7 linked regions of the Nothobranchius furzeri genome follow. The protein of the gene in region 2 interacts with the protein of the main gene of each other region in a pairwise test. Links are inferred from orthologs where the notes say so. Each region holds a gene or a part of one and is shown on either strand. Other genes may lie near its edges. The genes, in order: rabac1, spg21, dtx2, atpaf2, trim54, reep6 and s100b.

Region 1 (4,484 bases), on a different chromosome or scaffold from region 2:
GCACTTAAGAGATACAGGGAGAAGAGGAGTCGTGGGTTTGTCTTATTCAGACTGGACTGGAATAACAACACATACAGAAATATGTGCCGAGGGCCACCGAGTCCGACGCAGCGACTGCCCCGTGCGTGCACATGTACACGCCAACTCTTACGAGAATAAAACTAAAGACAAGTAACAGTAACAGAATTTATTGCACTTCCAACGTTTCAGCACAGAACGCATAATTTACAAATGAATTTCTAAAATGTGCTTTTCGTGACCTTTCCCACCAGAATGTCTGAACCAGAGCTGATCAAATAAATAAAAAGAGAAGCCACATAATGTTCAAAACTAATTAAAAAACTAAATGGCACTTGACCTTCGGACATGCGTCGATACCAGCAGTTTGGATGGTGCCGTCAGAATTTACTTTGCAGGATGCCCACAGCTAGGAATTCAGCGCAGATGCTCCGCTAAAGAGCAAGAGGCTTCATGGCACAAACCAGAGGCATCGCAGGCTTAATATATGCAGATAAAGGCGAATAATGTGCTTCAAGCAATAAGAAATTCATTATTTATGCATTTGTGTAACAACAGTTATTTATCATGCAACATAAGGTGCATTCGTAATACAATGCCATAAGGTAAACATGAGGAAGAAGGATATATGTATAGATATAAAAAAATCTTCAAGGAGATTCTCAAAGGGTCAAAACGAGGACTGATCATGGAGCAGCTCTTTAGACCGGCTCCATGAGGAGCTCATCCAGGTCCGACGCCTCCAACTCTCGGAACGCAGCATGAGAGCCGATCACAAACAGAGTTGCTCCTGACAGGAAACCACACAGAACAGGAAAAATGGATGTAAAAAGAAACGATTTTAGTTCTTAATCAAGATGAAACATCAGAAAAAGATTACGAGGAAAGAACAAATCATGTTCAGCTTACCGAGAACCCAAAACACAGCGGCTCCGGCTCCTGCCAACCAGAAAACGGGCAGAGAAACGGCTCCAGCCAGACTCATCTGGTGTGGGACTGTCAGTTCTCTGCCTGATAAACAAGAAATATGAAGAAAAATATTAAAAATAGGGTTTGTGGTGCTAAATGCAGCGTGGGTTAAATCCAGAACAGGCATGGATGACATATTTAAAAGGTTTCACACAGAATAAAAAAAAATAGACCTTGAATGTTAAAAAAAAAAAAAAACTAAATCTGGTAAATTTGAAAAGATTATGGATTTGTAGGAAATGTACTCACCGAGAACAACCAGTTTGGACTCCAGAGACTTAAGGTGGATGGCGTAGAAGGCACCAGCATACACGGCTAAGGCAATCAGCAGCATGGGCGAGCTGATACTGAGGAGCAGGAAAAATGAACAGGGCTGTCAGGCTGGAGCTATTTAAAGCAGACTGTCGACATTTTTCTAGAAGCCAGAGTCTCACAGATGATCTAATTAACATTTTTTGTTTTAATGAAGCTCTCTTTGATTAGGTCTTACATGCAGTAGAGGATGAGCCCCAGAAATATGAAGGTATAGTTGCTGTTGTAAACTTCCACATTTTTAACCACCCTCTGACACAACTCTCCAAAGTTGCGAGGTTTTGAAAATTTGCGCTGGTCTACAAAGCTGGCCCACGGTCGGATGGACAACCTGCGCCTGTCGAACCACTCCTTAGCCATGCTGGCCGAGATGCCTTTAGGAAGCCAGAGCCTATAAAAATAAACAAAATAGAATATCATCAACACACCAAAGCCAGGGTAAAAATATGAAAGCATGGTGGTTCACACCTTGAGAGGACTCCGATGCCCCCTGTGCCGGTTGGATGGGCCTCATCTGGGATGAACAAATCTCCAGCTTTGCTGTCCATGTCCACCATGACGTTCTCCCCTTTAGGCACTCCAGATAACATTTAGAGACTGTTGACTGAAACAGAATCACATTGAATGTGGACTAAACTTTTACAAAAACAATTAGCCTGGATTTACTCATTTTTATTTGATGCAACGGTGTAGCATCTTATTTAGACTTTGGTTGCGTTTCCACTCATTTTCTGGTAGATGTATTATTATTATTATTTTTTGCCTATGAAGCCCCTTATTTCTAGTCTATAAATCCTTCAGGCATAAAACATTTCTGAAACTGGTGTAGTGTAGTGTAGTGGACATTTAAATCCTATTTTTTAAATTAGAATCGATGACAAAATACCAAAGATTAAACAATTTGAGAAATTAAAAAAAGGTACTTTAGCACACACACACACACACACACACACACACACACACACACACACACACACACACACACACACAAAACGGATTCCAAAAGATATATTGACTGAAAACTTGACATATGGTCGTTTCTATAACTGCACCATTTTCATTGACCTTCAGATCTACTGTAGACACATGTTTTAACCCCAACACTTCTTATTTTATCTTTCATATTCCTCGTGTTCCCAGTAAACCTCCCTGGTTCTTAAGCTGTTTTGAAAGCAATAATCGCAAATGTCAATGGAGCTAACTTTTGATTTTTCGTATTTTAAAACGCCACATTTGACACGTCATAATCTAAAACGGTCTCAAGTGTATAAACAATCACTGTCTAATGATTACATGTCTTTCTAGTTTAATGGCGATCCTTAGTTAGAGAAACAGGAAGAAGTAGAAACAGGGCCCGGCCAGTGCCACATCACTAAATAAACAGGATAACCGAGAAACTCTCGTTACCAAACAACAGTGTCTAGAAGTAGCAATTTCAAATATAAATATTATACTCACGACGAGTCTATTTAAAACCTGAATGTAAATGTAAAATGCTAGCTTATGAGCTAATGTTTACGTCTACTTCCGGATTTTATTTAACGTCAACGTAATTTTCACTTGTTTTTAAAATAAGAATTTAAATTACAACATACCTGCCAAAATGCTAAACCCTTAAATCATTCACCAAAATGTAGGCAGAAGTTTCACCAGACAGCCTGAGCTGTCTTTTGTTGCTGTTCTGGATCTCGGAAGTGATGTGGCTGCTGGAGAAGAAGAAAAAACTTCCTACTTCGCTGACTCTAGGCAGGGCCACCTACTGGCTACATAGAGTACTTCGAATTTTGTGTTACACAACACAGGTGGAACTTTTCATTTGTATTACTTTTTATTTTATTTATTTATTTTTTTGCATTATTTTTACTTCATCCAAAAAACGGAGTTTTTTCTCTTAACAGCCGAAAACACATCTGTTGAAAAAGCCGACCTGAGATCGGCTGCCTGTTTTCTGCGGTGGCTGCTCAAAACCACACAAGCACGAAAAACTGACTGCAGATCAGAAATGGTAAAAACGTGACCTTACGTCATGTAACAAACAAAGAGGCTGTGATTGGTAGATAGACGAGTGTTGTGGTGCTGCCGTCACTGGGCACGCGGCACTGTGGAAGTTGCTAGATCCGCCAGCGAAAGAAAGGAAACAAACATTAGAAGGTGAGGCGCTATTAATTATCTTATCAAATTTAGCTGTTGGAATGTTTTTACGTGTTGTTAAATGTAATCTTCAGACCTTGGGGTTTATGACAGTTCTGTTTTTGTTAGTCATTAATAAAGTAACGTTTCAATGCTAAAACAAAATGTACGCGTTTTTTTTTACAAATGCACTAAAGGGGGACACAGCGCCATAGCAGCATATTAGCCTACGCTGGCTCCGTTAGCTTTAGCTTATTCGGCTCTTTAGCTTACTCAGCTCAACAGCTGTCCTGGCTGGGTGTTTAATGACCGTTTTTTTCTCCACAGAAACCGTGACAGGATACATAAACTCGTATAAAGCGTAAAACCGTAACACAAGAGGAACGAGTCGTTTCAGGAGCCTCCAGCTGCTTTCATACACATTTTGCCTGAAGATAAAAACGACACCGCTGACTGGTTCGTGTGTGTGGAGAGCGTCAAGCTGAAACGGTAAAAGGCAGGAATGTTCAGCTCCACACACACTGAGCTCACGTACATTAACATTTTATATCCTGACTCCCGAGGAAAATACATTTCTATGTCATATTTTTTCAAAATCTCACATATATATTATAACTTAGTCGACTATAAGTATAAATAATGTCAGAAAATATGGTGTAAATAGTTGCATTTTCCCCAAAAAAGCTAATTATATTTTATATTTTTGTTTAATTTCCAATAACAATCAGTATTAATAGATTATTTAAAAAAATGCTCAACAAAATAGGGTAAATAACAGCAAATAAACCAAACTGGAGAACGTTTATTCAAACAATTGATAATTGTGTTAAAATATTGCTAAATTACTAAATTAGGTTAACATCCCCCAAAACTTCCTAACTTCCTAATATCTCCCAAAATAGCTTGAAAATGAGTTTTCTTCTTTTCTTTTTTTTTTTTTTTTTTGACAAAAGTTGCTTTTAAGAACCTCGTTTTCCTTAAATAGTAAGTGGAAGTCCTTCAAGCCCTTTCTCTAAAGATTTATGAGTTGTATCTGGAGTATGCATGAGGTCGGA
Region 2 (4,468 bases):
GCTGCTTGTTTTCCCAACTTCACCCCGGGATGGTGACAGCAACAAGGACAGCGACACTGACATCGGCACAGAAAAGGTATGTGACGAAGCTCTTCTGAGGCTGTTCAACTCCGACACTGAAGAAGAGGACTTCAGTGGTTTCAGTGCACAGGAGGACGATGAATAAACGAATCAATAACTTTTCTGTTTGTTTGATACTGATCAGTTCAGTTACGTTCAGTTAAACTTACTGTTAGTGATTTCATCTATTTTATTCTGTTTACTTGTCCTTTAGTTGTTTTATATTTATTTTTATTGTGTACTGTGTTCCTTATCCTGTAAAGTGACCTTGGGTGACCTGAAAGGCACTTTTAAATAAAATGTATTATTATTATTATTAACTACGTTTTCAATTCAGTAGATATCGGCGGCTTTTAGCCCGGTGAGGCTTATATTGAGGTGCGCTATAGTCCAGAAATTACGGTAACCATGAAGGTATGCGCCTCCAAAAATAAAAAGGGGAAGGACGGCTAGTCAGGGTTATTTATAGACCATCGGTGGGGATGGGGTTGCAGCTGGTGTCAGAAGTATCTCTCTGATTAGTGCTTTATAAACCCTACTGTCCTCAAACCTATCAGCAACAATATTATGACTGTCTAATGAGGAGCAGGTGCTATAGCCTGTTGAGGCCTCCATCCAGCTGTCAGCATCAGAATGCAGGTTTTTCAACCAGACAACTGTAGATGTTATAATCAAACAGCAGGGCAACCAGGTCTTACCAAGTAATCCGATTTATTTTGGAAACGACAAGTTTTAATAGAGATGCACGTGAACCTGATCAGCCAAAGAAAAGGTGATTAATCCATCCAAGCTGCCTTAACACATTACTGCCTTGTTCTTGTTCTGACAGTTGTCTTTTCCTGGACAAGTCACCACTGAACACTGAGAACACGCAACAAAACATGGAGTACAAACGCTAGAATCGGCCATGTCGTATGCTGGTCCACACTGAAGTCCAGCTCCACCTGCTGGGACAGGGCGGTGCAGCGCGGATAGTCTCTGGTCATCTTCCACAGCTTTGAACCATGAAAGTGTAAACAAGCTGGTTGTCTTAAAGAACATATCAAAACTAGAGGGATCAGAGTGGGAGTACGGCACCAAGTCAAACATAAACTTCATCTGATGACAATCCTGGTTTTGATGGTGGGCGTACCCAGTGGAAGTAAAGACAGGAAAGTGCTGATAAAAGACCTTTAGGGTCACGCGTCCCAACTGTCCTCCAGGTTTACCGACAGTCCCGACTTAAACTGGAGAAGTGATCAGCCTGCTGTGTGACTGTGTTCAGGGGCAGACTGGCCCTCTGTGGATTCTAGAGAATCACAGACCACTCTCGACGCACGCTTTCAACACCTGCCCCCCCCCCCCCCCCCCTCAAAGCTCTTTCACGCTCCAGCACGCTAGGTGGCAGCACTGCACCTCTAAGTTGGATGCCAGCTACATTGGCTGCTGCCGCCAGGCAAGGAGAAGAAGAAGCTGAATTAGAGAGGAGGCAAAGGCAGTAGAAAAAACGATGCAAAACTCGGCTGCTAGTAAAAAAAAAAAAAAAAAAGCAAAGAAAAGGGTGAGGCTGAGAAAGCAAGAGAAAAATAATTGCGGGCATTACATGCTAAAGCCTCTAAATGTCACAAATTAACAGACATATTTAGCAGCAGGTTCACAGCAGTGAAGAAGGCAGGCCAAGCAGTAATGAGGGACAGAAAGACGCGCTGGTTCCACAGGCAGATCCCGGGGAAGTAAGCATGGAATATAAGAGGAGAAACATTTGCAAGGATTGATGTTAGAAATTCATGTTTAGGTTACAATTTAATTTTATGATAACAGCTAAATTTCAACACTTTAGCTGTAAAAGGCCACATGCACTGGGTAATAAGAAGCATGTTGTAGTTTTACGTAAAAAGGTTGGCAGTAGTGTTACAGTTAATGCTCACAAACTTTGAAAATCTTAAACACAGAAGTTACATTTGTAATGTTGCATTTTCATTTAGACGTGGTACTACTTGTGCAGTAAGATTAATAACCGCATAAATGATTAAGCTAATCAGTAATACAGCTTTTTATACAACATATAGTCAACATTAGCACCGTTGCTATAATTTGGATGGTTTGACCACATATTTTTGCTGCCGAATTTCCGCGCGCCGTTTACTTTGGGCCGGGCCTAGTCAGAGTCCAGGACTGTTTAGTCCCAGTCCGTCCCTAACTGTTAGGCATGTCATCATCCAGTCACTCATCACGTGAGGCCGAAACAGTAAATACATAATTGGTTGGTCACTATTCCGACTCGGGTTTTTAAACTTGAGTTGGTTTTCATCCAGAATCCGCTGTGGGCCCAGTTTTTCTTCTACAAATCAAACCCACACAGTAACGATCCGCCCATACTCACTCTCTTCAGAGGAACTGTGCTTCTGAACCAGTTGTAGTCAGGAGACACCTTTATCTCCTCCATCTGTGGACACGCAGAGAGACAAACGGTCACACCCAGCCCCGGAGACCGTGGTGTTGTTAGCTAACACAGCTAGCTCCGACACTTACCACAGAAATACACAGAGCACCTCTTCAGGCCGCTGCTGCTAGAGGAGGATTTGTCACCGTCTCCGGGAATGTTTATCCATTTCAGGGTAACATTTTCTTGAGCTGCTGCTTGGTCATATGACTCTTGTTTCTCACGCTTCCGCAAATTCCTCCGCTGCGCAGCCACCTCGCGCACCTACCTCGCGCACCTTCCTAGCTGCGGAACGGAAGAGACGCAGCCCCGACAAACCACGCCCCCGACAAATCACGCCCCCATGTGCCTGTTGAGCTCTCCCCCGAGCTCCCCTGGTGGTCAGAAAAGGGAAATATCTCAATAACGGCAGCCCTCCCAGCCAGAGAGCTTAAAGAGCAAGTAACATCTAAATTAACTTTTTTTTTGCTGATGAACTGTATAAATGAGTGTCTAATAGTGTTTTAAATGTGTGTATTCATTATTTTAACATTTTGGTGCATTTTCTTTAAAAATTAAAAATTCTGCCTAAATACTACAGTATAGCTCCACCTTCAGCTTAAAACATAGAATTTGACTCATTTTGAATAAATTTTAGCGAATGGCTAAAGAGTAAGATACTACGTAAACCAGTAGAGTACTACGTAGCAGCTCTGTGTCAAAGTTATAAAGCAACGAGCGTCTCGGCCACGCCTTGTGGCGAGTTGGGAGTTGGATTTGCAAGCGAGTGTAGGAGGCTAGCCGTAGTTCAGCATTAGCATATAGCATTAGCATATCCTAGTCTTTAGCATAGCTTTTAGTGTTATACATACTTATTTACATACTTGGCTGTTGGATATTGTAGTTTAGTTAGTGTTTGGCTGTTAGTGTAATTAGGAAAGTAGTTCGGGTTTAGTGCTCCATATCGTGTTAGCATGGTGAGATGGTGTAGTGTAGTATGGTTGCGGTAGCTCTGTGGGGTTGCACTCCTTTCCGCTGGACTCCCGCCTGGTGCTGTAGTTTACAACCAGCATTTTACCCGCGATTCTGCACGTCTCCGTTTGAAGAGGGAGGCTGTGCCCACCGTGGCTCTTCCGCGATTTAGGTGCAGCCCACCGACTCTGCTCCCCCACCACGGCGGGCTCCAGTCTGAGGTGAGTCAGCTAAATAAAGTTTTAACGTCTTCTAAAGACAATTCCCTACCTAAATGCAAAGTCCGAGAGACGTGGTTCACTTCCTTTAGCTAGTCAGTCGGTAATTCTGCAACAGTGTCTCTAACTAACGCAGCACTAGTTGACAGACAGCATTACAGTGTGAAATCCAGCTTGTGACCCGGTTCTGTGAGGAATTCTGTTCAGGAGGTCGCATTTCAGGCTCTCCACATCATATGTGACTGACTTTTACGTTATAACAACGATCACACACTAGGAATGTTAGAAAGCACCTTTATAGGACAGTTTCTTTTGTATTTTATCTGACTTTATAAACTCCCAACAACAATGTGCTTCTATTTTTTTTTTCAGGCTAAATCTACCCAAGACACTGGCTGTCAGACTGATTTAGCTGCAAGAATGCACTTGTCCAGGCTGATGTGAAGCTTTACCGGCGTAGCAAAGGTGAATTATTTTTAATAATCTTCTATGTAAACATTTTATTATTACCTTCTAGTTTTAATTTGTTTTACAGATTATTGTTACACATGATTTTATGCTCTTTTAAACATTTATAAATGTGCTGCTTCTTTGTTTTTGTACATAGCCAGCCAGAAGAGCTCACAGCCTCAGTGTGTCTTGTGACACGGGGACCTTGATGGAAATTCATCTTCCAGAAAGTCGCAGAGCAGCGTCTACACCCCCTGAAAAGACCACGATGTGAGGTGTCTGCTGTTGATTCCAGCTTCCACCTCAGTGACAGTGCAAGCTCAGTGAACTGTTCAAGGTAAAAAAATTTCAAAATTTCAAAATTTTT
Region 3 (3,938 bases), on a different chromosome or scaffold from region 2:
CTTTAATGCTGGCTTTTGGGTACAGGCAGGAGCATGAGCTCATACAGGGTATCTGCAGGTTTAAGGGAGCCAAATTTAAGACCTTTTTTAAGGCCACTTTGACCAAATTTAAGCTATTTTTAAAATTTCATTTAAGCTATAATTTCCAGCTATTGCCTGGAACCGGTGCTAACCACGTCGCAAACGTGGGATTAGCCACCCAGTTACCATAAAAACTGCACTTCCCCATGGCGCAAGCTCCCACTAGCTTAACCAGCTAATGTGCTCATCTAAAAATGGCCCCCTTTCACAACCAGCTGAACGTGTACGGTTCTGCATACGCCAACATCGTACACTAAAAATGCTGAACACAAACTAGAAATTCACGAAAATTTTATGGAAATAAAAGAATCTTGTTTATTGGGTCTTTGGTAATTTAAGACCTTTGGAAACTGGATTTAAGGATTATTTGTAATTTTTAAGGATTTTCAAGGCCTTAAATTTGGAAAAGCAAATTTAAGACTTTTTAAGGACCCGCAGATACCCTGTCATAACCCCAACCCCCCAAAACACCTGAAACTTACACTAAAACGTTAGAATAGCATACCGATTACCATCATTTATACACCATTATGTTTCCAAATCCCCATTCTTGCCTTATAAACAAAAATAACGTTTAATATTCTATGCATTTTTATTTCTTTGACTTGATATTTAATCACATTTGATCAAACACAAACGGCGTTAAGAGTCGAACTTTAACATCGTTTTGCTCCTGGAGCTAACATGCATGCCTGGAAATACCCCGTGCTATTTTTAGAACCTTTGGATCGAAGGATTTCTGTCATTTTAAAGGCCTTAACTAAAGAAAATCTAATCGAGGACTTCTTTAAACATTCTATATCAAAACAGAACCGAATCCTTTGTCTTAATTTGGACACTTGAACAAGAACTGTATGAACAACGATTCTGTTTGCAGGCTTCTTCCTGATTTAGGCTTTAAGAAAGCCCAAACGTCCCCCGTACCTTGGTCCCGTTGTTGTACATGGCCAGCATGCAGAGCATGTGCAGAGTGTGTCCACATGTGATGAACTTTCCCACGGTGTCCGGCAGGACGCTCTGAACCCCGTCCTCTGAGGACGGCGGCGTCTCGTAGCTGGACGGGCTGGACAGCTGGTCCATGCAGATGATGCAGTCCTGGAAGAGACGAGTCTCCGAGTGTTAAAGCTTCACACAACATTTCCCATCATGCCTTGAGCCGTGTCTTAAAGGGATATTACAGCCATCTTGAAATGCATTTATGTGTAAAAGTTCTAAAACAGCCTCTGTTCAGAGAAATGGTGTTTTTGTGTTGCTGTCCTGAGAGCTTTTGTCTTTTTCAATTTCCCTCTACTTCAAATAAAACCAACAAATAGAAATAAACTCCCTTCAGAAGGTCTAAATATACCTTTAAATACATTTGGGACTTGTTTACTTTAATGCAACAACACTTACCTCCTCGGGAACCTCAGCCACCACCTCCATGTAGCGCCGGATCACGTCCTCAGAGCTCCGAGTCAGCACTGGCGGAGAGAGAAGTCGAGAATGTGCTGAAACTAAAAATCAGACGGGATGGAATGAAACTATTTTTCTCCTGGAGAGACGAACAACTCCAGCACTTCTACTCATCAGGTGAGTTACTGTAGGAGGGTGCCGTCAGAAAGAACGTTAAGAGTCAAGGGTTGATGGAAGTTAATGGAACCAGGACACATGAAATGCTGATGGACGGCGAAACGGGACCCAACATGAACTAAAGGGAGTCTCCGTGTTTCTGATGGTGAGGGAGCTCGTTTAGTTTGTTGGGAAAGAAAAACTGGCAAACGAAGGTTTTTCTTCCCACAGCCACCGAGTGCTTTCAGCTCCAATATCTGTTGGTTATTAACGATAAAATGTTGCAATAAATCACATAAATAACTGTGAAAACAGACAGTTTGTGGCGCGCAGCGTCTTGTAAATATCCACGCATCACTTTCAACATTTCTTCTTTATAATCTGAAGCCAGAAGTTGCAAAATCCAATCAAGTCCATCAAATAAAGCAAACCTAGTGATGCTCACACGTCCTAAAATCAACCTAATGAGACATTTTTAGGGATTTATTAAACTGAGGCTCCAGAATTTCACAGAATATTCCTAATCTTATTAAATGTAGTATTTTTGAGGACAAATAAAGTTCTGACGGCTGAAGCTGCTCCTGTCCTCGTCTTTTTGTCCTTTTCATTAGCTTCTCTGAGGTTTCTGCAGACCTGAGGTCTGGAACACAAACTCAAACTCGTCGTTATCATAAACGTCCTGCTGGCTCAAAGGTTTGACCTTTTCTCTCCTCCAAAGCTGAACCCCCGCTGAAAATCCACAGGTGAGACATTTTTATCACCTGTGTCGCGTTATCCTCGTTGTCGAGGGACGCAAAACAAACGGCAAGGTGGATTAGAGTGAGGACGCATGGAAACGAGTCGTGATGGAGGATGAGATGTTCCTCAAGCCTGTGGAGATGAGTGGACGGGTGGAGGAGGATGGAGGTGAAGTGGATTATGGGTATTTTTGGGTGAGGTAGCTACCTCTCCTGTGCTGCCTCTTTGCTCTCCTAACTGAACTGCTGCTGTGGGGCTTGTTGGGTCTGCTGGCTGAGGGGAGGAGAGGAGGAGGAGGAGGAAGAGCGAAGGGAGCAGGCGGCGGCGGCTGATGCTGCTGCTGAGGGAGGGGGGCGGAGGTGAAGTGCACGCCGAGTCCCACTGCTGACATCAAAATGGAGGCCATGCCTGGAGCGGGGTGAGGCGGGTGAGGGTGGAGAGCAAGTGGAGGGATGCAGGAACAGAAAGGAACAAATCAAAAGAATGAGAAACGTAGCAGCGGCCGACGCCTCCGCTGCAACTCAGGCGTGTGTGTGTGTGTGTGTGTGTGTGTGTGTGTGTGTGTGTGTGTGTGTGTGTGTGTGTGTGTGTGTGTGTGTGTGTGTGTGTGTGTGTGTGTGTGTGTGTGTGTGTGTGTGTGTGTGTGTGTGTCAGAGCAAAAACCAGAACTTGGAGCTGTGACTACCCACAATCCTTCACTCTGAATGAGATCAGAGATGCACAAACGTAAACAGAATGTTTTCTGTCTCCGCCGGCTTCAGTTTGAAAACTCGCTCACAAATGGAGCACGGCGACGGCGGCGGCGTTTAAGGAAGTCGTGTTTTCATCACAAGTTTATCCAAACCAAACGGTGAAGTTTGGCTCTGGTTACCGTTAACGTTCATTACCGCCTAATGAGGATTAAATCTGCGGCGCCGCACCGCTGACCTTCCATTTGAAATGATTTACTCGTGTCCCGCTTTGGAGCGTTCCACTAATGAGGTTCCGGTCCTCCGAGCTGATTGGAATTACTCCGTCTGTTCGGAACGCGCCGGCTAAATTAAAAGGCGAGCAGCAGGAATTAAAAAGGCAGAGAAAAGAATAGAAATCAGCAGCTTTGATGAATATTTTACCTGCAAACGTTCGGCGAAGCATCCAAACCTGACCTCAGCGGGACAAAAAGGCGTGGCTGGAAGGTGGCGTCAGAATAAAAACTCTTGCAGACGGACCAGACTGGACCCACCCGAACGCTGTCACGTTAACAGGATTTGTCCGGTTAGGCGTAAAAAATTAAAAAGCTTACGAAAAAATCTAAATCCAGCTTTTATCCGACTCGTTTTTAAACGTGATGAAATGATTCTGCTGACCCGAGCAGCATGAACGTACAAAACATTATAAACAGTTTCTGTCCAAAGTTTATAAATAACCTTCTGGAAGGGCCTCTGTTTGGATGAATAGCATCTATATGCCACAGGACTGAGTCAACAGCTAGCCCGACCCAGGCAGGAGCTACTAATTCAGACTAGCCGTTAGCTCATCAGTCCCGAAGATGTGAACTTCATTTCTCTTAACAGAGGCTGCTCAGAAAGTCG
Region 4 (4,701 bases), on a different chromosome or scaffold from region 2:
CGCTTCCTGCTGATGATTTCTCCAGCAAAGAACGTGGTTAGTGTTGGATATTCCTAGAAGAACGGGCGAGTTGATTTCTGTTTTAGTTTGGGAATGCCAGAACATCACAGCCAGTATCAGCAAATCTGCCAGGTTCAGTTTCAATAAGAAATAAACATTCTGTCAGGGTTACAGTTGATCACCAAAGAGTTCATATTTAATTAGTCACAAAGACAAAACAAGAGCAGTCTGACCATGAATCCAGATGGACACAACAAGAACGGATCTTAGGAAATTCCTTAATTATCTGATGCTGATGTTGCTTCCATTACCTAAATTAAAGCTACTGATCTAAAGAGATGATAATCTTAAGAAACAGAGATTTCTGCAGAGGTAAAGTGTTAAAAACTAATTTATTCCGCCAGGAAAATATCCTGACTCTTCCACTCTTCTACGTGTAACCTTTACACTTATAAAAATATAGTTTTCTGTTAACAATTAATCTAGACAAACCTGATGCAGAGGTAAGACTCAAGAGAACTACATACAGACTAGAAGTGTTATGGCAATGATTTGCTCCATCAGGAAGCAGCCATCTAGCACTTGTTTATTTATCTGTATATTCTGCATCTCACTGATCTTTGCCATTTAAAGGATGCGAAACTGAAATAATACAGTTTTAATAGGTGAAGTTCTTCAGTCTCATTTCAAATACATGCATGGGCTAGAATTAGAAAATTGTGGATTAAACCGATGTAGGCCTTTTGAGAAATCAGAAATACAGTTTTCTTTCTAAAGGCAAGAAAATTCAGTATGAATCAAATTTAAGCAACAAAACACTTCGTGTCCCTGCTCACCTCTGTCAGCCCTTTTATCTTCAGGTAGCCACACAAGTAGGAATCTTCCATTGTGACATGCTTTAAGAAGAAAAAAAAAGATTTTCATCATCCAAGTCAGCAATAAACGTGCTTTAATCTACATTCGTATGGATCCCATGATTATGTTTCATAAACATGCTAAAACAGCCTGTTGGTCTTTGAAAATCATATCAAAAAGTCCACCTTTTCAGCAGCATTTAGTGAAAATTGACTAGAGACCAAGTACAACACTGATGATGGTCTGATTCAGGTAGGACAGAGTGTTCAGCTGTCAATCATCACACGGTCGGTTTGACACATCACATTAATGACTGTATACACGCTTCAATTCCTACCTGCAGGACAACCTCCACATCGTAGGAGTTCCCTTTGCTTTTCTGGTGGCCCCGAAACTTAGAGCCGCTGTACAGCAGCGAAGTGACGACGCCGGGCTGCTGAGTGTTTATAGGGGGTGGCGGGATAAGTGAGGCCGAGGATGTGAAGGCCGCTGCGGGTGAGTCGCTGATGTATCCAGCAGGGACGGGCATGGCTCCCACTTCGCTGGCTGAGCACCAACCACGGTCAAAACACTGTGTTCGCCTCTTCGAACAGCTAAATGTTTACTGAATACGCTCACCGATATTCAAATTTCACTTAATTCCAATGTAGCACAGTTTACCAAGCTGCTCGAGAAGTAAGTGGACTTGCTGTGCTGTAGCCAGGAGCATTCACCTCTCTGATTGGTCGACTGAGTTCGCCGTACGAAGATTCTAAACGCTTATTGGCTGAACGTGCAGAAGGATTTACGTGACTATTTGGTTGTAGTTTTTCCCCCTTTTGTAATGCAGCGCAAAGGGACTAAGAGGCTCCTAAAAAAACTACATTTCCCACTAAAGTAAACAGTTTACGACACTGTCAACCAACTCGCAAAGAAGGTCAGCCAGCGTGCTTGAAACGCCGGAGCTTGAGACGAGAACAAATGCTAAAACTGCAAACAGTCTGTAAATGATAGATGTAAATGTCATTCCGTTTACGATGTTGCGCTATTTTAAGTGAGAAACGGTGGGAAAAAGCTTTGCGATTTGTTTCTGTTTTATTATTAGCCTTACGCCAAAGTCGCTGAGCCATGTTTAGAAGTCTTATTAGACTCAAGAGTCCATTTGGAAGTGTTATTTCTCTTTACAACGTGTGCCCGAGGCATCAACACTCCAGTTGTACGCGGAAGTATTCCACCGCCACATCAGGTTAGACGGAAAATATTAGTAAATCCGTTTAGCTGACGATTTCATTAACCCTGTTTTCTTTTGCGATGTTGTGCTGTGTACCAGAGAGGAAGAAGTTTTATCAAGATGTAAGCATCTCCCAAGGTGAAGGTAAGAGGAAATGTTCCATTCCTGTGTTTACATCATTCTGTCTTATGGTTGTGCTAAATATTAATAGCAATAATAATCTGTACAGGTGGTCTCTACGAGATAAACCTTGACAGAAGGAAACTGAAAACTCCAGGTGGGAACCTGTTCGTAGTGCCTAATGAGGCCCTGGCCGTCGCTGTGGCAACAGAGTGGGATGCTCAGAAGGATACGCTCAAGTTCTACACTATGCATCTGGTATTTGGCTATGCACACATAAAGCTGTCAGCCAGCTGCCCTTTCTCTATTACGTGTGTGCGTGTGTGTGCGGGAGTTTGCATCTGCTTGGGACGGGATTGAGGATGGGAGGACGGAGATACAAAGGGGATCTCTTATGTTAATCTGTGTGGGAGGGGTGGGAAACTGGCTGCTGGGTTGTTTTTAATATTGTAAAGTGCTTTGAGCAGCATTTGTATGGAAAGCGCTTCATAAATACATTTTGATTGATTGATTGATTGAGAAAATAAATTTTAAATACAACGAGTGACTTCACCTCTGTAATAAGGGTACATTCCAGGAAATGCGTTGTCCAGCTGAGTGTGAGGTGTCCATTTATGGATTATATACAGTATGCATGCTTATAGCTATGTCCTGTCAGTTACTGAATCATGGATCTGATGTTCTTGCTAAACACTTCTTGCAGACGACTCTGTGCAACACAGCTCTGGACAATCCAACTCAACGCAACAAGGACCAGATGATCACTGCTGCTCTGAAGTATTTGGAAACAGACACCGTTTGGTAAACTTGTTATTTTTATATCTATATCAGATAAAACATTTGTTTATATAACTGAAACAACGGCAGGGTTATACAGCCCAAAAATAAAATCTCTGATTTTATTTTTTAAATTTGATTTACGATTCTCTCTCCCCCTCAATTATTAAGAATAGCAATAAGTACAAATGGAAGGCAACTTAAAGCCAATTTTGTTTTGTATTTAATCACAAGCAAGAGAAATGTTACCCTTATTTCTGAGATGAATAATGAATAAATGATCACCCTCTTGGAATAAAAGTGCCAAGCTCCACATCCGTCGCAGCAAACCCAAACCAGTTCCATACAAGGGATGATTTAATTCCTCTCGTAGGAACAAACTTCCCACTCTCACCGGTGGCCATGGAGTCACTTGCTGTTGCACATCCGTGTACGTGCTGTGACGTTGTTGTCGCGGTTATGTGAAACTAATGCTACGGAAGCTCCGGGGGGCCAAAAAGGCGCTATTACATAAAAATTTGATTTGCTTTCTTTAATCGCCAGCAACAACAAATTCGGCCTGGGTGATGATTTGATTATCGCCCAGGCCTAACTGAAACTAAACCAGGAAAACTAAGCATCCAGTAAGGATCAAAGGTCATTATACCAATATTTATACATCACTGCTTTTAACACAAGACAGTTGAGCTCAGATGAATGGCAGAGTAGATTTTCATAATCCGTCAAAGGTGAATGCACACAGGCCAGTTGAGCAAGTGGACACCTGATTATTTCTATTGTAGTAAATGCAAAATGCATTTTTCAATTAGTGATTCCATTTATTAAAGAATTAAATCTTTCCAAACCAATTTGACCCTTGGAGCCAGCAGCTGTCATCAAGCACATGTGGCTTTCACATCTCTGTGAAAGATTTATGTCCCGCTGCTCGTTACAGAAACTGAAATCAGCCACATTGGAGGGTTTTCCAGCATGAATTACCTGTTTAAGGTCAAAGGTCAGACATTCTTCTTCAGGATGTTTTGCTAAGGAAGCAGCCTCAGACCATCACACTACCACCACCCTGTCTGACTGCAGGGACGATGTCTTTTTCCTGAAATGCTGTCAGTTTTACCCCAGGTGTTAAATAGCCTTCATAAAACCAGGTGCAAGAAAGTTCAGATCTAAATGAATTAGGAAAAGACACGTTGTCATTTAGATATTTTAGTAGTTGTCATTGATGGTGGCTGTTTGCAGATTAGTTTTAAGTTTCGTACTATTTGTTTTGTTTTGTGTAGTTACAGAGTCGATGAGCCTCCAGGTTTGGTCGAGCTCCAGAAGAATGAGTGGGACCCTGTGCTGCACTGGATTGAAAACAGGTGACAGACAGCATTTTGTTGTGATCAGAGCTGATCTGCTTGTGTTAAAGCCATCCAAACGCTCCCGGCCAAGATGCTGCACTAAATGGTTATCTTTCATGACCGCATGGCAGGTACGATGTCACTGTTGGATCCTCGTCCAGCATTTTGGGTCCTGAGATTCCAGAAGCAACCAAAGACACATTCAGGCAACACTTGAGCTCCTACAACCTCTGGTCCATGACAGGTACGAAGTCCAGATGTTTTTTTTTTTTAAAGGGATCGTGATTTATTTATTTTTGTGGTGACTTTGAGCTTCACTTTTTGTCTGGTTGCTTTCGAGCAGGACTGGAGTTTGTGATCACTCAGCTGAAATCTGTAATTCTGTCGCTGGGGATGATCGAC
Region 5 (3,938 bases), on a different chromosome or scaffold from region 2:
AGCATGATGTTTTCAACCCTTTATTGGTAAACTGTTTACAAAGTAAGGACTAATTTGTGTTTTTATTTTGTTTATTTAGCTGGTGTGAGTCCGTGAGAGGTGAGCAGAGTAAATCAGCTCAAATGCTGCTAGGAAACAACCAGCTTCAAAGATCTTTACACAAAATAATTAACTGAAAAAAATCAACAAAACTAAAATATTAAAACATGAAATCTGCTTCAGCTGGCTACATAAGTTACTGCCGCCGCCACCGGGATTCAAACCCACATCAGCACGCGGCGAAACTAGAATAAGAAGCTCACACTTGAACCCCTGGACTACCACAAAAGACATCACAGATGCTGTTGAAGGCACATCTTGGAAGCGCAGGTATGGGAGGAGCTTCACGGACACAAAGCTTTTTCCCGGGTATGCATTCAGGCTGACAGAAATAACTCATGTGAAAGATAAAAGGACATCTCAATAATAATATTTTATCATCTGCTGAGCTGACCTTTGCTCTATAGCGTGATGTGGGACCTTTAAGATGTGCTGAGGGAGTCTGCTGGATGAACCTCAGCTGCAATCCCAGCTCTGCTTTACATGCAGGAGCAGAAGTCCATGTTTCTCAGTGAGTCTGCGATGTCGTCCGTGTTGATGATGAAGTGGTCCATGCTCTCGTAACTGAGCTCCAGGCGCTCAAGGTTCCAGGTTCTCATCACCACTGACATCCTGTCAAAACACAGATTTCAAAATAAAACTCAAGCCCTGCAGCTGTTTAATATAAAAATGGGCTTAAACTTTAAACATTTTGTTTATTTTATTAGCCACTCTTGTTACTATAGCGATGTTTAAGGCTTTTGCACGATGAAAACTCAAATTAAACAATGAAAACCTCCACACTCGACTCATTACAGGTTATTTTTCTCTAAGATGAAACCGGTGTGGAACCCATAAATTCACTGATTAATAATAAATCTGTCAAAAGCCAATATTGACTCGATCCATCAGCCAGTGAACACACACAGATCCCCGGTCGTTCACACGAGGCGGCCGCCGATGGCAGAGCAGATTTGCTTGTTTTTTTTATGTCAACAGTTGGATCTGTTCAATAATTAATCAGAGGTGACACGTGTGAGAGCTGATGACTGGGCAGGTTTACTCAGTGCCAAAGCTGCAGCAACTAAAACCACAATCACCTTCAAGCTTTTCAGCTGAAGGTCAGATGAAATGGTGCGGTTCTAAATCACAGGAAATCTGCTTTAATAAACCAGTTTTTAAAAATCTGCGTGCAGACATGCTTTGGTGTTTATGATGCTAATTGATGGCCTCCATCGAAAAAAATGTGTACAGGAAGTTAAATACCTCCGAATGAGAGCCTCGCACCACACACACTCACCGTTCCAGCAGGACATCGGAGATCTGTGGATGGAGGAGAAGATTCCTTCAGTTATCTGTGTGAGCCACACCTGTAAGCTCTCCCCAACCCTCAACGGTTCGTGTGCGCTGAGTTCCCCAGAAGTTCCCAGCTTCATGAGGGTTAGGGTTTGACATTTACACACGTGTGAGCACACACCTCATACTTTACAGGTCTCGTTCACTAATGTCTGTTCTTGTAGAAACCTGATCTGTCGTGGTGAGTTGCACGTGCACCCTGAACGTTTTCCTCTACCCTAGTCACCTGCATCAGCAGCGGGGCAACAGTCGGGTCAGAGAAAGCCAATCTCTTCTATGTCACAGGGAAAATTCATATTCGTGATCCCGCCCACCTTGGTTTAGAACCACCCACAGGAAGGAGACAGCAGAGCGTCTCGGCGAGTAGAAGCTAACCGTTAGCATTAGCTAATCCAAGCATGACGGAACACGTTCAGCTTTGTGTTGGTGGAGACGTAACGTGAACGCTGCATTTTTACCAAAGAGCGAACAGAGGAAGAGTCACGTTGCTGTTAGCCAATCAGAGGCGAGACGTTTGAATATCATGAATATTAATAAGCTAAACTCATAACTTCTTTTCCTCCTTCTCTTTCAGTCTGAAATAAAACAAATAAGAGCATGACTTGTTTCCTCTCTGCACCTGATTCATGATGCAACAGGTGTGTTCCTCACCTGGATGAACGAAGCCATGTGAGGCTCGTCCATGGATCGAACGGCCGTCTCCACCAGTGCTACGGCGGTCTCCAGGTGGTCGCTGTGCCAGCTGATGAGGGATCGCACATGATTCAGTTTGTCATCCTGATGTTTGCTGATGAATCCAATCAGCTCGTGCTTTCTCTCCTCCAACGTTGCCATCAGGTCGTCGATTTGGTCAGCCAGGTTCTCCCTCTGTCTGTGAGCATTCTCCTGAAGGGAAAACGCAGACGAAGGACCTGAAAATGTACTTGACCACATGCAGAACATGTGGGTAGGATCAGTTAGGTAACAGGAAGGGGGGGGGGGGGTGTTTGTGGGTGTCACCTCGATGCTGCGGCAGATTTCCTCCATCTGAGAGATGGCCGCCTGGACTTGGTCGTTACTGGCAACCAAGACAGCAATCCCGTCACTCAGCTCCACCTGCACAGAGTCAACAAAGTAAAGTTCTCCCATGAGAACTGAAACTCTACCAAACCTGGTTGTTTTCTCTGTTTTTAATATTAACTTTATCTGTTTTAATAAAAAATGCTGGTTTGACAACCTCAACATTTAATCTCTGTGGTTCTGGGTTGGTCAGCTCCTCCAGGTCCGAGGTTCTGGATCTCCACCCGAAGAAGTTGGGTTTCTTCCTCTGGGTTTGGAACAGGTCATTGCCTCTATGAAGGAGCTAAAGTATCTTGCTCCTGAGCGATGGAGGAGAGCAGACCTCTGATTTGGTCTGTTGTGTCTGTCATCATGACCAAAACAAGATCCTGGATGGAAGACACCAGGATGAGTTTCCTTAGCTGCTCCTCCTCATCGGAGAGTCAGCTGAGGTGTTTGGGGCATCTGTCATGGATGGTTCTTGCTCGTCTTCCTCTGGAGGGTTTCTGGGCCCCTGGGAGGACAGCCTGAGGCAGACCTGGACCTTACCAGCAGGATTATAAATCCTCTCTCCTGGAAACATCTTGGAATTCTTCAGAAAGACCAGAAAGGGAAGTCTGGGTCAACCCAGCCTTGGACAACTTGTGGAAAACAGATAGAAATCACAACTTCTTTTCCAGTTTTGGTCATTTGAATAATTAAAACATTTTCATATAATTTTTTTTATAAATTATTGATTTCCTGTTTGGTAGATTTTTGTTGTTTTTTATTTTTTTATTTACTTTTACACACACACACACACACACACAAAACTAAATTCCACAAAATGTTTTACTTCCCCATTTCAAATTTGGACAAATCTGCAAAATAAATAATTAAATTAAATTAATCATTCATTTATATGCCTCCACTACTTAGTTAAAATAAAATAAAATATAATAAATCATTCATTTATATTAGCCTCCACGACTTAGTCTTGTTTCTAATTAGAAGCAAATAAATTCCATCTTTCAGTTCTTTTTAAAACACAGAAAAGGTTTATTTACCTGCAACGTTTCGTTTGCGGCTGCAAACATCATCAGGTAAACGTTTTGTGTGTTTTAAAAAGAACTGAAAGATGGAATTTGAAACTCAACGCAGCAAGAACACACCAGAGAAGCAAGTCAAGTTTAAAATGTGATTTCAATAATCATTTCTTGTATTTATATATAAAATCTGTGTTTACAGCCACAGCGGCCGACCTACATGAAGTAAATGGAGTTTATCTAACATTAAAATCATGAATGAGCTGAAAAACAACAGAAATCGTTTTACAGAACATGAAATGAAGCCTCACAGTCGACCACTCATCATCATCATCATCATCATCATCATCATCGTCGTCGTCCCTGATCCACATCCGATTCAAAAGCTCTTTATTATTTATCAGAAGACCAGATCCAACACAGACGACGGCCCTCTGACTG
Region 6 (4,457 bases), on a different chromosome or scaffold from region 2:
ATTTAAGGAATACCTCGGCTGATGCAGAGTTGATGAACGTTTCACGGACAAGTAAGTCTCTAAAATATAAATATATGAAAACACAACATGACATGAGAATAATACTCGTAAAACAGCGTGTTTTAGCTCCGTTTGTCAGCTGCAGAAGCACATTTATAACCAGAAACGTGAAGTCGCCATCTTAAACAAACAGAGGAACAGACTTTTTGTGTGATATGCTTGTCAGCCACTAGATGGTGCCATCAGATAAGAGAAATACTCCGGAAAGAAGCTTCAACGCCGACTTTTGATCCAAACATCCTGTGGTGGAACGTTAAATGATAGTTGGTCACATGTATTCTGTAAATCATGTTACGTTGATGATGACAACTATACAGGCCATACAGAGAAATGTGATTACGTTCTTTTGTCACGTTTCCTATGAGCACACTAAAACTACAGCTGCTAACCTTTACTTATTGTTACAGTCATGTCTCCATAAGCACATGTCTACAACACATGATCTCCACACGCATGTGAGGATGTGTTTCAGTTGCTAACAGGCACCAGAGGGTTACGCAATTATGAACGCTAATGCGATTTCTTCAGCCATCGTCACCCGCAAGCTACATGTAGAGAAACCTGTCCCACTTAAACGCAGGCTTTTAGCCACTCCCACCGCTGCGTCCGTCTGCTCTCACCTGTTTTCCAGGCGAGGCGCCGCTCATCTCAAACAAGGCCATTCTCACATGCTTGTGAAGGCACCCGAATGTGCGAATGGGGATATGACTGTAACACATTATAAGTAAAAGTTACCAGCTGTAGTTCTAGTGTGCTCCAAAAAAAAAAAAAAAAATATATATATATATATATATATATATAAATAAAACCATTTAAGGTTTAAAAAAACCTACATGGCCCCTTGATGTTTTGTGTTGTTTCTGCACAACTGGCATTTAAGGGCACACTCTGCAGTTTTTCTTGCTTTTAGCACCCCCTAGTGTCCATTATTAATTATCTGTGGTCCAAAATGAAACCAATCTCCTCGCTGTGCCTTTTTCTTTTTAACACCCAAATCTAATAGCTGAAATGTCTCCCCAGCCTTCTTTAGTGTCTACAGGAGTGATTCATCACTAAATTAAACAAACAACTGTGTCCATGATCTAAAACAAACATGCTGGCAGCAGCACAACAGGCGGTGGCCCAGGACTCTGAGGTATCCTGGCCACAGAGGGCGGTGGGGTCTGAGTGACATTTCACTGTTTCAAGATGCTGATTCAAAAATATGAACAACTTTGCCTTTAGGATGAGTAAATCTGTTTTGTGTTTGATGGAGAATAAAAACGAGAAATGGAGAAAAGGCAAAGACTGAAACTTTAAACAACTATATAACCATAACATAATCATCGGGGGAAGTTTTAATGTTTCTATCTAAGAATGAGACTTTTGAATGAATGATTTTGGGATTAACGGATGCTCACGAGGCACCTCCTCCCTCACCGCTCCACCTCCTCATTACAACAGATTGTTGCTGTGAGAGGATTACTACCTGCCAGCTGCCGGTCCAGGATCCTTTCCTCTCTGCTTCTCTTTGAGGACGTTGTTGGAGACCATGGGACTGCTGGGTGTTCTCACCTCCATCAAGGACCGAGCAGAAAAGTTTCTGAACGAGAAGAACGTGGTGACGGATTTTCTGGGGAAGGTGGAGGAAAAGACGGGGATCAAGAAAAAGGTCCTGGCTGTGGGTATGTGAGGAAGCTCCTGCTGTGTTCAGGTGATGAAAGGTGTCCGTGGTTCTGGGTGGATTCTGTCCAGGTGTGACACAACGGTACCTGCCTGGACGAGTCCGAGAAAAGAGGATTCAGTTAATCCTCCTGTGAGGAGATGCAGCCAAAGCTTCTGTTTATTATTCTGCATAATCGGACTTTAAACTGCCTCCTCATCTCACTTTTATGTTCCTTTCAGTTGCATCTGATTTCCTGTTTGTTGGTTTTGGTTCAAACAGAAACCCTCTGAATTTGACATCGTTAGACGTTTCCTTTTGTTGATCCGCCTTCCCCCAGACCGTGTTCTGGTGAAGGTTCCCAGCAGGTCCTGGAGTTAAAGCGGCTGAAACTCTTTATTTTCCTACAACTCGGCTCTGAGTCCCATCCTGACACAGCTTCAGAAGTCCACATTTTAGTGGCTAATCTTTATCATGCACTTCCTGTTTTAAATCCCAAACTACGGGAGTGTCTTGTGAGCTGCTTTTCCTTTAAGGAGCTCTGGCTACAGCCCGTGCCCTACAACGTTCTGCTCAAACTTAGAAAACTCCTGGGATGACAAGCAAGATGAAGTCCTGCTGTCCTGAACATTTTTATTCATCTCTGGAGCCTCTCCTCCTGTTGATTCTTACTAAACATCTGTGAAATCTTCTGAACCCTGTCTACTAAGCAGAGTGCACTTGCAGGAAGTGTGCAGTAAGGCTTCGAGTGTGCGGTATACAAGTGTGCAAATAATCGCTGAACTGGAAAAGGGAGTGTTGCGTGATCGACCGCAATGCATGCAGGGATGCTGGTCACTGAGCTACTTTTTATAAAAACCTTTATTAACAACTTTCAAACAAACAACCAAACATCCATCCGTTTTCGGCCCGCTTATTCGGGGATGGGTCACGGGGGCAGTAGTCTAACTGGGAGGCCCACCCTTCCCTCTCCCCAGCTACTTGGGCCAGCTCCTCTGGGGGAATCCTGAGACGTTCCCTGGCCAGCAGAGAGACATAGTCCCTCCAGCGTGTCCTGGGTCTTCCTTTAGATCTCCTCCCAGTCGGACCTCACCAGGGAGGCGTCCAGAAGGCATCCTAAGCAGATGCCCGAGCCACCTTAACTGGCTCCTCTCGATCGAGAAGTTGGCTCTCTGTAACAACCAATTATTTAAGTAAATTTGTTTTGTCTAAAGCATTCAGAGCATCAAATAATTATCCTACAGTGAACTACTTTTTTATTTGACTGTGCTACCTTTTTTACTTTAGTGTCTGCCCTGGGATTGGGAGATGGGGGTTCAAATCCCAATCGGGTCATTCCAAAGACTTTTAAAAAATGGGACCCAATACCTCCCAGCTTGACACCATCGACATATATATATATATATATATATATATATATATATATAGTGGACGATTCCTGTACATAGGCTCGTATGAGAAGTTTTTAATTTGAAATGGGAGGTGGCCACCACCGCCATTTTGATTGTGTCACACGTCTCGTCGCGCCCAGACAATCCCATAAAAGGGAAAAGAGGTGGAGCTGAAGGTGGGGCTGTAAGGCTGGGATCAAATGATGACACCCGTCGAACAGTGATGTAGCTACAAGCTAAACCAAAGCCAACGCGGAGGGGGGAGCTAAGCTAACAGAGGTAGCTTCCTAGCAAACTGTGCACAACACCGGAGCTTCTGAGTCGGAGATGTGCCAGGCTGACCGCTGGGTAAAACCGGGTGGAACACAGAGGTTTCCAACCGAGAGCTCCACAAGCCGGCAGCCGCGCAGCAGACAGGCGCCGCTGCGATGCGCCGAGCTGCCGCTGAGGGGAGGGGACCATACCGATAGTGGGAACCCAGCTCCACCAACATGTTATATTTCAACCCATTTTCTAAAGTGCAGCATTATGTTAAATGCACTGGGTTTTACCCTATTACATTTAAATGTCATGGTTAAACAGTACATGTTAAAATCTAAGCTCAGCTCGGCAGTGACCTAAAATACATAAATATAATTTTACTTACCGAAAAAATGAAGTGGAGACTCCTTGGACGCTCTATTAGTGCAATTAATGCCACAGCAAGTCATTTTGTCCAACAATTGCACAAAAATATCCAAAAAAGAACACAAACGCTACAACTAATGGTCTAAGTTGAGAGACGGAAAATGACGGAACAGTTTTTAAGCGAGACCGAGGCTCTACTGAGGCCTTTCCACGGAGCTAGCTCTGTGGTCACGTGGGTCTGAGGCTCATTAATTATACAGAATTTTAGACTTTTAATACACTTAAACAGAAGAGTGAGAAAAACATTCACCCCCCTCAGAGTTGTCATGAGTGTAAACTAGATCATTTAAACCAAAAACATGTTCTGGTACCAGGCTGTAAACATACCATGCCAACGTTATTTCTATAGCACAGTTTAAGACACAGCGTGAGAGCTGACCGAAGTGCTGAACAGGCAGGATCAATTAAAACAAAAGTAAAAACAATAGGACGATAAAACACAACAATAAAAACTATAAAATCCTAATAGGATGACATGGATCACTGTCTAAAAGACAAGTCATAAAAGTAGGTTTTTAAACGACATTTAAAACAGGCAGAGAGGACGCCAGCCTGACTGTACTGGGCAGTGAGTCCTAGAGCATGGGGGCAGCATGGACAAACTCACGTTCACCTCGTGATTTGTAGGCCATCCGGGGAGTGCAAAGCAGTAGACGGTCAGCTGACCTCAACATACG
Region 7 (3,769 bases), on a different chromosome or scaffold from region 2:
ATGACGATTTAAAATGCAGCAAAGCATAAACCTGCAGTGATTCACTGAAGAAAACGTAACTTCTATCAGCAAAATAAAGTAAAAAAAATGATTAAATGAAGTAGGAAAGCAGGAAATTTTTACATTTTTCATTTCGTTTCATGGCGTTTGTCTACTTTTTTTCTGGGAAAGACGACTCTGTGCATGCTCAACCTATTTAATCTGATTGAATACTTGGTGCATACAAACTCACGGCATGGTCGGATCATTTTAGTTAGTGCGCATGTAAACAGAGATTCTGGATTTCCCATCAGCCAAGATTTGAATCGGATTGGGGAAGTTTGGCGCATGTAAACGTGGCTACTGGTGAGGTAAGGTCTTACTTGAACACAAAAATACTGCTTGCTTGCAATGATGTGGGTATGCACTGCCCGCTATAGACAAAGAAAATACACACCGTCACTTTAAGTAATGCATTACTCAGCAGACCCCCACCCCACCCCACCCTGGCCCTTTGTCCTTAAGGACACTTAATAGTTAATGGGAATGAAAATGAAGGGATCCTTTGTTTATCAATGCTTACGTAACTGTATTATTGTAAAGATTTACCAAGTAAATAAGTAAACAGGTGAGTCTTAATTAGCTTGACATGAATCCTGACCCAAAGGGAATAAAAATCTGCTGGATCAGGAACATCTGGGATCAACTCCTCCTCTTCCCCAGAGTCTCGCTGTAAATGAATCAGGCTGATGAACGACAGGCAGTGTTTTGTCTGCAGCTTCCTGGACGGCGGTTTGATTCCCAGCACAACGTTTCAGTGTTTGAAGTGAACAATGAGCCAGTCTGCAGCCGTCCGTCCTCATCGGGCGCTGTTTATCATCGCACAAAGACGCCGTTTGTGCTGGCATACACAGCCCTGTCTCTCCTGCACGGGGCGAGTGAGGTGCAAGGTCAAAGGTCACCGGGTTTAACAAGGCTGTGCGGGGAGGTCAGCACATCTGCCACAAGTTTTACCTGCTCACCGATGGTGATCCCAGAAGAGATGTCTGACACTTTCAGCTTGTTGTGTGTGTGTGTGTGTGTGTGTGTGTGCGTGCGTGCGTGCGTGCGTGCGTGCGTGCGTGTGTGTGTGTGTGTGTTCATTGAGATGCACAGCCACGCTCTTCCTCTGAAACCAGCTTTGTGGAGGGGAGGTGGAACCGGGTCACAGAACCAGAACTGATCCAACTCTCCTCTTTTACAGATCAGGATTTTAATACCTGAGCTGTAAAACTCTGCAGGTTAAAGTTTTTCTCATTTAGACGTTTCAAATAATGTTTCTGTAGTTTTATCTAAAAGCAACAATTTTCATCGGACATCAGAGACATTTAAACACAAATGAGATACAAAAAATAAAAAAACTGTGACACAAAAGTTTTGTTTAGTTCCTGCTCTGGTCCGAGACCAGAGATCCCGGTTCTGAGCGGCGGTCCGGTGGAGTGAGTGGGGGTGGTTCCGCCTCATTGGTCAGCGGGTTGACCGACAGGATTGCTGATCTCAGATCTGCTCCTCCCGGCTCCACCAGGCTGCTGCAGTATAAAACCTGCAGCCTGAGTCTGCGGACACACACGCTGTGCAGGAACACACACACACCAACGGTGAGTTCATCACACCCACACACACTTTTACTGTAGATTATGGGATGCTGCTGGATCCGCAGCCACGTGCTGATGAGCTTTAGGTTCTGGTCGAATTTATTGAGAACATGGTGGAGGCTTTATCCTATCAGCTGATTTACATCGATGTCATCGTAGCTTTGTTCCACACGTATGATGTCCCGCATCATGTGTCTGTTCGTATCACATCTGTATGACATGTCTTTTATAGACACGAAGGTTTTTACACGTTCATCCCTGGAGCTGAAAACATCTGTCAGGAGACGATGAGCGAACTGGAAAACGCCATGGCGACCATCATCGCCGTGTTCCAGAAGTACTCCGAGCGAGAAGGGGACAAACACAAGTTGAAGAAGAGCGAGCTGAAGGATCTGCTTCATGACGAGCTGCCAGACCTGATGGCGGTGAGAGGGTTGGGGTCAGAGGTCATGATGAGAACGGTGGCTCTCCTATAAACCTGTGTGTCTCTGCAGCATGTGAAGGACCAGTCCACCCTGGACAGCCTGATGGAGAGCCTGGACACAGACGGAGACTCTGAGTGCAACTTCCAGGAGTTCATGGCATTCGTCTCCGTGGTTACCGCCTGTTGCCATGAGTTCTTTGTACATGAGGACGAATGAGGACACGGAGACAAAAGAGAGCAGAAACTGTGGAGACATTAGACTAGTCCAGACCAGAGGTAGCCTCACCTAGAACTAGTTTAAATCTGGCTAATCTGGTTTAAACTCAGTTATTCCAGTGCTTTAGAAGCTTTACTCCTTACATTTGATGTTGGTATTAAAGACTAACAAGTTTTATTTTGTCCAGTTTCTGATTTTAAGAATTTCTGGAAATTTTAAAGAATAAAAGCATTTCGGACAATTTGTATAAAAGGATACATTTTCTAAAATGTCTGATTTTGGTTTAAAAATATCAGAAAATTTAACAAAAAGCTAATTTATTTAAAAATTGGTGGTCAGAAGGTTTGTTTGTTTTTATTTTGGTGGGTGTGGTTGATTAAATTCCAATTTGAAACATGTAGGATAAAAGAATCAAGCAACATATTTTGCTCTTGAATAATGTTATTTTATCATTTCCAGCTAATCTGACATCTGATGTTTCTATTTAATTTAATAGATTTAAACGTAGTTTTGTTCAAATGAACACAATTTGGTTTAAAGTTTCAGTTATTTGATGTTTTCTTGTTTAAAATGTTTAACAAACTATTTAATTTCTCATGTTATTTTAGAAACTTGCATTTTCACAATGAAGAAGTTTAAGCAGAAGATTTTTCTAACTTTATTTTGTAGTTTTAGTTTTGTTTACTGCAGGTCATTTTTTTTGTTTGCTTGTTTTAGTTAAAAAAATCTGAAAATAAAAATGTGGATGAAAACAGACGAGTTTAAATGTTTGTCTGAATATTGGTGAAATTAAATATAATAAAACAATAACAAATTGTGATTTTTTTAAAAATCATTTTGGTTTGTTTGCTTTTCTAATTTTAAACCTAAACAGAATAAATTTTGCCTTGTTTCAAATTCTTAGTAGATCGATACTGACTTTTTACATGATTCGGGAATCGTTTCATGTTTTTTGTTTTGTAAGAATATTAATTTTTAAAAATACAGATAATTAATTAATGCAATGCATGAAAAAATAGTTGTAATACCTCCTGACAAAATTTGTAAAACATGTATGAAGTTTAAAAAAATACTTTTAAGCAATCTTAATTGGCATTAAAATGTATATTTTATTTAAATATGTAAGTATTTATTTATTTATTTATTTATTTATTTATTATTTATTTATTATTTAGGGAAACATGGTGTTTCGAAGGATCTTTCATGGCGGTTAAAACGAAGAGTCGGAGTACCCGGCCCGGAGGGTTACCGGGGTCCCACCCTGGAGCCAGGCCTGGGGTTGGGGCCCGTGAGCGAGCGCCTGGTGGCCGGGCTTTCGCCCATGGGGCCCGGCCGGGCCCAGCCCGAACCGGATACATGGGCTCGTCCAACTGTGGACCCACCACCCGCAGGAGGAACATGAAGGGTCCGGTGCAATGCGAATCGGGTGGCAGACCAAGGCGGGAGCCTTGGCGGTCCAATCCCCGGACAAGAAAACTAGTTTTTGGGACATGGAACGTCACCTCGCTGGCGGGG

The links.
Region 1: the proteins of spg21 (region 2) and rabac1 interact in binary tests that used the Homo sapiens proteins (3 or more experiments, as listed by UniProt). The two-hybrid records come from large-scale screens. The link is inferred for Nothobranchius furzeri from reciprocal best matches to the Homo sapiens genes SPG21 and RABAC1.
Region 3: the proteins of spg21 (region 2) and dtx2 interact in binary tests that used the Homo sapiens proteins (3 or more experiments, as listed by UniProt). The two-hybrid records come from large-scale screens. The link is inferred for Nothobranchius furzeri from reciprocal best matches to the Homo sapiens genes SPG21 and DTX2.
Region 4: the proteins of spg21 (region 2) and atpaf2 interact in binary tests that used the Homo sapiens proteins (3 or more experiments, as listed by UniProt). The two-hybrid records come from large-scale screens. The link is inferred for Nothobranchius furzeri from reciprocal best matches to the Homo sapiens genes SPG21 and ATPAF2.
Region 5: the proteins of spg21 (region 2) and trim54 interact in binary tests that used the Homo sapiens proteins (3 or more experiments, as listed by UniProt). The two-hybrid records come from large-scale screens. The link is inferred for Nothobranchius furzeri from reciprocal best matches to the Homo sapiens genes SPG21 and TRIM54.
Region 6: the proteins of spg21 (region 2) and reep6 interact in binary tests that used the Homo sapiens proteins (3 or more experiments, as listed by UniProt). The two-hybrid records come from large-scale screens. The link is inferred for Nothobranchius furzeri from reciprocal best matches to the Homo sapiens genes SPG21 and REEP6.
Region 7: the proteins of spg21 (region 2) and s100b interact in binary tests that used the Homo sapiens proteins (3 or more experiments, as listed by UniProt). The two-hybrid records come from large-scale screens. The link is inferred for Nothobranchius furzeri from reciprocal best matches to the Homo sapiens genes SPG21 and S100B.

Annotation. Positions count from the first base shown.
Region 1 is NC_091745.1:74,795,041-74,799,524, forward strand, and holds rabac1 (prenylated Rab acceptor protein 1), read right to left. Parts: upstream 3,030-4,484; 5' UTR 2,895-3,029; intron 1,904-2,894; 5' UTR 1,890-1,903; coding exon 1,768-1,889; intron 1,691-1,767; coding exon 1,478-1,690; intron 1,335-1,477; coding exon 1,237-1,334; intron 1,030-1,236; coding exon 928-1,029; intron 809-927; coding exon 720-808; 3' UTR 173-719; downstream 1-172. UniProt on the Homo sapiens protein: General Rab protein regulator required for vesicle formation from the Golgi complex. May control vesicle docking and fusion by mediating the action of Rab GTPases to the SNARE complexes.
Region 2 is NC_091749.1:20,260,556-20,265,023, reverse strand, and holds the start of spg21 (maspardin), read right to left. Parts: upstream 2,913-4,468; 5' UTR 2,572-2,912; intron 2,486-2,571; coding exon 2,423-2,485; intron 1-2,422. UniProt on the Homo sapiens protein: May play a role as a negative regulatory factor in CD4-dependent T-cell activation.
Region 3 is NC_091750.1:69,056,188-69,060,125, reverse strand, and holds part of dtx2 (probable E3 ubiquitin-protein ligase DTX2), read right to left. Parts: intron 2,776-3,938; coding exon 2,575-2,775; intron 1,575-2,574; coding exon 1,474-1,574; intron 1,177-1,473; coding exon 1,006-1,176; intron 1-1,005. UniProt on the Homo sapiens protein: Regulator of Notch signaling, a signaling pathway involved in cell-cell communications that regulates a broad spectrum of cell-fate determinations.
Region 4 is NC_091756.1:29,843,138-29,847,838, reverse strand, and holds the start of atpaf2 (ATP synthase mitochondrial F1 complex assembly factor 2), read left to right. Parts: upstream 1-1,749; 5' UTR 1,750-1,962; coding exon 1,963-2,080; intron 2,081-2,164; coding exon 2,165-2,209; intron 2,210-2,294; coding exon 2,295-2,443; intron 2,444-2,888; coding exon 2,889-2,986; intron 2,987-4,236; coding exon 4,237-4,317; intron 4,318-4,430; coding exon 4,431-4,543; intron 4,544-4,642; coding exon 4,643-4,701. Other genes in the region: glucose-induced degradation protein 4 homolog, read right to left, coding at 1-53, 837-896, 1,193-1,384. UniProt on the Homo sapiens protein: Plays a role in the assembly of the F1 component of the mitochondrial ATP synthase (ATPase).
Region 5 is NC_091742.1:14,270,599-14,274,536, reverse strand, and holds part of trim54 (tripartite motif-containing protein 54), read right to left. Parts: intron 2,530-3,938; coding exon 2,434-2,529; intron 2,320-2,433; coding exon 2,086-2,319; intron 1,402-2,085; coding exon 1,379-1,401; intron 712-1,378; coding exon 579-711; 3' UTR 1-578. UniProt on the Homo sapiens protein: May bind and stabilize microtubules during myotubes formation.
Region 6 is NC_091748.1:78,702,324-78,706,780, reverse strand, and holds the start of reep6 (receptor expression-enhancing protein 6), read left to right. Parts: upstream 1-1,591; coding exon 1,592-1,724; intron 1,725-4,457. UniProt on the Homo sapiens protein: Required for correct function and survival of retinal photoreceptors. Required for retinal development.
Region 7 is NC_091743.1:84,018,468-84,022,236, forward strand, and holds s100b (protein S100-B), read left to right. Parts: upstream 1-1,476; 5' UTR 1,477-1,616; intron 1,617-1,845; 5' UTR 1,846-1,900; coding exon 1,901-2,038; intron 2,039-2,107; coding exon 2,108-2,254; 3' UTR 2,255-3,010; downstream 3,011-3,769. UniProt on the Homo sapiens protein: Small zinc- and- and calcium-binding protein that is highly expressed in astrocytes and constitutes one of the most abundant soluble proteins in brain.